Linked DNA regions of Arabidopsis thaliana. The protein of the gene in region 2 interacts with the protein of the main gene of each other region in a pairwise test. Each region holds a gene or a part of one and is shown on either strand. Other genes may lie near its edges.

The links. Proteins that work in one complex are often made in the same cells at the same time.
Region 1: the proteins of AT1G61660 (region 2) and AT1G03040 interact in binary tests that used the Arabidopsis thaliana proteins (3 or more experiments, as listed by UniProt).

What each region holds. Positions count from the first base shown.
Region 1 is NC_003070.9:704,504-708,259, forward strand, and holds the start of AT1G03040 (basic helix-loop-helix (bHLH) DNA-binding superfamily protein), read right to left. Parts: upstream 2,162-3,756; 5' UTR 1,955-2,161; coding exon 1,598-1,954; intron 1,154-1,597; coding exon 1,031-1,153; intron 865-1,030; coding exon 799-864; intron 627-798; coding exon 561-626; intron 166-560; coding exon 1-165. Other genes in the region: AT1G03050 (ENTH/ANTH/VHS superfamily protein), read left to right, coding at 3,223-3,686.
Region 2 is NC_003070.9:22,754,772-22,758,527, forward strand, and holds the start of AT1G61660 (basic helix-loop-helix (bHLH) DNA-binding superfamily protein), read right to left. Parts: upstream 1,601-3,756; 5' UTR 1,401-1,600; coding exon 1,078-1,400; intron 958-1,077; coding exon 549-957; intron 453-548; coding exon 345-452; intron 259-344; coding exon 193-258; coding exon of another isoform or gene 109-192; exon of another isoform or gene 64-108; coding exon 1-63.

The DNA of each region.
Region 1 (3,756 bases), about 22 Mb from region 2:
GTTTTTACACCACAAGTCAGTGCAAGAAAAACCATTACCAAAGTTCTGTTCTTTTTTTAATGAAGTATCTCTCTCTAGTCTAACCTCAACTGATGAAGATAATGGCATTTCAGTGACTAGTGGTGCGACAGCACCGGCTCCACCAAGACGGCTCATGCTCAGGACCTGCCATAGTTGACCAGAGATAAAGCTTATGAAGGAAAAATATTATCAAAGCCCATCATTGCATAAAATATTCTTCAATGTTCTCATTAGCTTTATTACAATAGTCCTCAATTGTGATGATTCTCCATGGGAGGGAAGCAAGCAAAAAGTGAAAGACACTAATGCCAAAAAACACACAATCATGTACTCTTTGATTACTCTTTATTGCCAGATTAAACAATTATAATCTTTTATTAAGATTGGAAGTTTGGTTTAAGAGAGTAGGTGGTGGTGGGGACCAAGGATTTACACCACTAAATCCTTCTGGCTGTTTTAAATAATCTTTCTACAAACTTTTAATGATAGCATTTTCAAAAACCAGAGAATAGAAAACTGAAAATGACTTGGGTGTTTACCTTAACTTGGAGCCTGAGAAACTTTACATAATCGACAATCTCGTCGATCATAGCAGCCCTATCTGTCTGCAAAAGGAAAGCAAAAGAAACAGATGTGAATACCGCAGTTTCTATATGCCAATCACAAAACTTTTCTCTCATTGACAACTCTAGTTTTCTCCCTACTTTTAAAATCTCTTTCAAGCTCTCTTCGCGACATGAAAACAGTAGCTGAAGCTCTAGAGAAAAAGATACCAACCTTGTTAACGGTAGGTACAAGTTCCTGCAACGACCTGATCCGTTCTGCTATTCTTTCCCTTCGGAGCTGTTGCAAAGCAAATACATTCAGGTTAGGTCTTACCGTTCTTAGTAAGTAAGAACTAATCGAACTTTCTCAACCAAAAGCTATAATTAAAGCTTTGATCAAACATTATCACATAAAAATCGAAAAAAGAGACCAGAAGATAAAAAAAGTGTATCAAACATCTTACCCTCTCAGCGATGCTATGTGGATCGGTAGCTTGACCTCGCCTAGCCCTAACTCTAGGCCGAATAGTAGACTGTTGATGCGGCATTGGTGGAGCTGGCTGTGACATTGGCTGCCCATGGAAAATCTTCAACAAAACACAAAACAATGCCGTAATAACATTAAGAAAAGCTTAAAAACCGCTTCTCACAAGAACGGTCGCCACTAGAGTAGTTATAGCAACAATTCAAACTATGACGGAATTATCCACATGAGAAAAGAAACTAAAGAGCAAATTTTCTTACAATATAATTTGGACATAAAAGAACACTCTTTTATACTAAAGTTTCTTGCAAAACTAATTTTAGTGTTATGACTTTAAAACACATCAAAATCTTCAACTTGGGTTTCTTCAAAAACATCAAATCTCACCAATCTGAGCCAAAAACTCTCGGTAACTATCAAATTTAGACCTAAGCTGGGTTTTCTCAAAAACGACACCATTTTGAAACCCTAAAGATTTGAATTTCACTTTATTTTCTCGAGAACACAAAAGAAAAAGACAAAGTGAAGATTCTGAAGAGAAACTTACAGGTTTCATAGAGGAACATCGATTATCAAGAACATCGTCTTGGAAACGTTTACCAGTTTCATCAGGTTTAAGAAAGCCATGTCCTTTCCCTTGATCGAGACTTAATCCCAACGGAAACATCTGATTATGAAACCCTACAGGTCCACCTCCTCCAATGGCACCCATATGATTATGATTCCCTTCGTTGCCTGAACCAAGCTGAAGCATCATCGGAGGTGGACCCACGCCGCCGATTCCAGAGAGACCAGAACCTGAAGAACCGGAGAAGTTGGAAAGCCCGAGGATCTGCTCGAAGAAATCGTCGGTAGGAGATGGATCGGAGATGCTATCATGTGGGATGTTGTTGTTATTAGCCATGAAGGAAACGAGTAAAGGTTTGAAATTTTCGACTCAGTGGAGCTGGGTGAGTTAAAAGATAGCGAGTTAGAGAAGAGAAGTCGAAGAACAACTTTCCATGCGAAGAATCTTGTGTGGAGTTGTTAGGTGAGAGAATGATGATGCTTAAGCTAATGAGGACGAAGAGACACAGACGAGAAAGGATATGACAAAAAGACTCACTTTATGCTCTCTTTCATTTTATTTTTGTTAAAAGGACCTTACTTTGTGGTTTATTTTCGGTTTTGCCCTTGTTCTTATATACCTTCCAGAAACTTGAAGTGGGCTTTATTTGTTTTGAAGTGGGCTTTTTGTTTTGACTTTCTTCAATTTATTCATATCAAATTAAGAAAAAGGTCTTTTACCAAACTCTTTTTAGTAGAATGTTAAAAACCAATATAACTTTCTTTTTTTAAAATATATAAATGATATGGGAAAAATTCTACGCATTGTCGGGGTCGTCGTCATCTCGTTAGTGGTAGAAAATAAGATTTTTTTAAAAAAATCTGTCTTTGTCGTTTTTTCCGAAATTTAGCACTCATGGAGTAAAGTTTCTAATATCCAATATAAAAATGACACGTTTCATTTTGCCATATGGTATTACAACTTGCTTCTCCTTAGTGCTGAACCGTTGTCCGACTCGTTTTCCATTTTGAGAGACAAGGGTTTTTCTATTTTTCACAAAACAAAATTGTGGCATTTCTGAATATAATACGAGTAAAAAATATGTCAGCAGAAATGGGCTTGGATCGATTTTGATTTGTTGGATTCCATAATTCAATCTTGGGCTTCCAATCCATAAGAAAAAAGCTTGGTGTATTTTTTTTTACAAATTAGAAGAAAGTTTTTTCCTCTTTAATCAGTACTCTTCTCCTTACCCATTAATGGCAAATGCAAACTAAATTTCAGTTGACCCGTCAAACAATAAGTTAATTTTTTGCCACGTGGCCATATTTCTCACCGGACAAAGCCTCCAATAACCTCGGCGACTTTAGATGGTGAATAATCGACGAACAACAAAGAAACTACATTGACGAAACAAACAAACAAAAACATAGAAGAAGAAGAAGAAGAAACAAAACAAAACTAAACAAGAAACAGAGGAGAAAAAAGGAAACGACGAGGAAAAACAAAAACAAAATAAAAACAAGCCTCGTTCTTCCCTTTTCTCTCTTCAAATCTTTTCTTTTACATATTTTCTTTTCTTTTTTTTGTCTTTAATACAAATTTACTAACTAATCAGAATAAAAATGGGTTCGAGTAAGTTTAAACGAGCCATAGGAGCCGTAAAGGACCAAACCAGCGTCGGTCTAGCCAAAGTCAATGGTCGAAGCGCTTCTTTATCTGAACTTGACGTAGCCATCGTCAAAGCCACTCGTCACGAAGAGTTTCCAGCAGAAGAGAAATACATTAGAGAGATTCTTAGCCTAACTTCTTACTCACGCAGTTACATCAACGCTTGCGTTAGCACGCTTTCGAGACGCCTTAATAAAACCAAATGCTGGACCGTTGCCCTCAAAACCTTGATTTTGATCCAAAGGCTCTTAGGAGAAGGAGATCAAGCCTACGAGCAAGAGATCTTCTTCGCCACTCGCCGTGGAACAAGGCTTCTCAATATGTCTGATTTTAGGGATGTTTCGAGGTCTAATTCTTGGGACTACTCTGCGTTTGTCAGGACTTACGCATTGTACCTTGACGAAAGGCTTGATTTCAGGTAAGAGTTCTTGTGCTTGATCCAGGTTCCGATTCGGGATTTCAAGTTATTTATGTAATTTGAATGATAT
Region 2 (3,756 bases):
GACTTGGTCGTGAAGGAACTTGATGTACTCTATAGCTTCTTGGAGAACAGATGCAGTATCTGTCTGAAGTTTAACCCAAAGATATACAAAATAAACAAACTAAGAAGCTCAATACATAACCAAGGGAAAATAAATGCTTTTGGTTGTATATATTAAGCCATATAAAATAAAGTAAACACATAAATCATTCACCTTTCCGAAAGGTGAAACTAGTTGTTGTAATGAAGTTATCTGGTCCCTTAGATTCTCTTTTCTCACCTGTTACATATACAATCCATTTTATCCACCAAGAAATTGAATTAAAATAAAAGGTCTTAAACAAATCTTGAAATATGATCATGTACCTTGAAAGTTGGCAACGGTGAAGGCGTGGTGACTCTCGGTTTCTTCGCCGCAGATTCATTATCCTTTGCTCTCTTCAAAGACTCACTCTGAGCTCTTGTCTTCAGATTCTTCTCAACAAAAATAAATAAATAAATAAATTCAATAATATAGCCACAAAACTTATATAGTAGCAAAATTATTTTGACATATATGAGATAATTTACCTTGGTTTTGTCCTCCAAACGAGTAGATATTATCTGCGGAGTGGTTACAAAATTGCTCGGCGTCGTGTTGTTTAAGTTAGTGGTTGATGAAGAATTCCAAAAGGGTCGAGAGTTTGCGTTGTTAGAGAAGCTGTTAATTAGTCCATAAGCTACTTGATGATGAGGATTTGTCTTATTAGCCCAAGAAAGTTGAGGATCGTTGATTGAACCACTTGTGGTGGAGACAAAGTTGTATGGACTTGGTTCGGGATCGTAAAAGGTTCGTATCAAGCTTGAGGACGAAGAAGTTGATGGAGATGAAGAACAAGCTGGATTAAGTATATAAGGTGAAGTAGTTGTGGATAAGAATCCTTGGCCATGATCTTGATCTTGTGAGCTCCTTATGAAGCTTGAGTTTAAGTCTTCTTGTCTGAAAAATACAAAACAAGAACAAAAGAGATCTCATGATTATTATTAAAAATCTTCAATCTTGTTCATCAAGAAAGTGAACAAAAAAAATTAAGTTAGGGTTTTTCTTTAAGAAGTTTACAAAATGGTTTGGTTCCAATCTGAAGAACAATTTGAGGAAAACCCTAGACCCATCATCTGCAACGTCGAGTCCATCGTCACGGTACTTCCTCCACTGTCAGAATCCGCCTCTCGCTGCCCGAAAACGATGTTGTTGTTGTCCGTACAAGTCATCCTAGATTTGAGATGATTCTCTTGCGAGCTAAAATCATTGGAAGTGATAGCCGCTCCGAAGCATGGTGACAAGAAATGATCCGAAGGAGACATAACGCTCCTTGGCGAGTTCCACCACGCGCCACCTCCGCCACCACAAATCGATGCCGTAGCTTTAAACTCCTCCGCCATATTAAGAGAATCAGAAAGTTTTAGTATAAGCTTTCTACTAGATCGTTGCTATACGAAGGTTAAAGTTTTTATATATATGAGTTTGTTGTATGTGATATGAAGAGCATAAGTGTAAAATTTTGATATATGTTTATGAGGGTGTGTATGTTTATATAGGCAAGTACGGACAAGTGTGTGGAAATTACCGGAATTTAGTTGACATTTGAAGACAAAAACTTATATCATCATAACATTCCTATGTGATTTTTTTAATTAAATAATCTTGATTTTAAATTTTTTCCTTAAGCTAAATATTTTATTTGACAGAAAGATGTTGTAATAATAGTGTTCCTAATCCCTCAATTTTCTTCTATTATTATAAGAACAACTGTCTTTGTGAGATTTGTTTCTTTGCTGCTTAGCTTTTCGAAGAAGTGATAATGATCCTCATTTTATAAATATTTAAATATTTAATTTGAGATTAGATAGGTGTTTGGTACTATTATGCAAGATGCCAAAAGGGGATACTATTTATATATAGACATTATATCTAACGGTAACCTTTGATTGGTTGCCATCAAATTCTACAAATCGATCGTTTATATTAAGTGGTCAGAAATAGAAAACATATCACGATTTTGATTAAATCAGTTTTTAGTAATTGTATAGACAAAACACGAAAATGACTGATTATAGTCTACGCATGCGTATATATATAAATGTACATAAATATGAAAGACTAAAATTTTGAAACTTGATATTTTTTTATTACTTTCATGCTTCCATACATGATTTTTATCAGATCACTTTAGTAAGCTTAGGAAAAAAAAAAACTAATTAGTCTATGCAAGCGTATTAATAATTGTTTTATTATTTTGGTAATTATAAACGACTAACCAATTTTTGAACAACGTTTCTTCTAATTAATTATCCATACTTTCATACAGTAATGATTATCTTGAAGTTAAAATATATGTTTTCTCAATCGCATTTGCTAAAAAAAACTTTAAAACATATATCTTCAAGGATTAGACTCACTTATTTTCAAAAGTAATATTCAAAGATTCTTTCGAGATAAAAGTTGAGTCCTAGGCTAGCTCGTTCAGGTTTGAGTTTTCAGTACTTGGGAGGGATATTTATACTTTAACAGGTATTACTATTACTAAAAATTAGTTTTAGATCGAAAAAGCGATCATAGGAATTTTTATTTTTTTAATAGACGATCAATTGTTTTTAGCTCGATTGGAAAACGCAAAATTAATGGCAAAACCTAGAGTTAGCACTTGATATGAGTTCGATATTTATTTCATTGTCGATCGGATTCTTTCGGTTAAAAATAGTACTATAAAATAAGATTTGTTCTTGTGGCTTGAGGCTAAAGGGATAAATGGTATATGATGACGATCGTCGATCGATGCTGAGTTTCGATCTGTGTGTCACGTCACCGTTTCTGGACCTATTGTGTTTGTGACTTTTTTCACAATCTCTTTATACCAAACGGTCCTTATTCTTTTCAACTAGCTTTTTCTAAATTCCGTAAATATTTTATTCTTCTAATAAATTTGATAAGTCAATCAATTATTGCACTTTAATTACAAGTCATTGTTTTGTTTTTCTTCTTTCTCTTAATTCTTTTTCCATTTTATGTGATAGACTGATAGCCACACAAAATATCAAAAAATGGATTTGTTGAACCTGATAATAGTAACCAGTTCTGTTCTTTATGATCATTATACGGCTCGAGGCATAGTGAACCGGGCTGTGTCACCGTCCATAAAATATACAAGTTTTATCAAACGATAGGCATAGATAATAAACATAATTTCACCGATATCCATGTATATAATATTTATATATCTATCTCCTTTCAAAATAAAAAAAAAAATTGGACATATTCTAAGCTAAATTGTGCTAGTATCGTTATTACGAAATTCAAATTTACGTTATGTATCTTGACAAAAAAAAAATTGTTATGAATGCTTGAAGAATGGTATTTTTACGTTACATGTAATACAAAAAAGACACTAATCATTTATGGTAGTCCAATGATTCAAAAATATATTTTGTAATTGGGAGACCATTGTTCATGGTTAGTAGAAGTGAAAGTCTTAAATGTATTCGGCAAAAAAAAAAAAATATCAAATGAAACTCGTAGATTTTTATTGTTCATGGCTATTCGAATTGTGAAAAGTCTTAAATGGTAAAAATATGACACAAAAATATCAAATGAAACTGGTAATATTTTATTGGATAATGGCTATTGAGGACAAATGAAGACTATAAAGGCCCCAATTTATCTAATTATTATTAAAATATTAATTAAGAACTAATTGAATTTTTTTCTTAATGGTCTCTCTATGCGACACAATGCATTTTG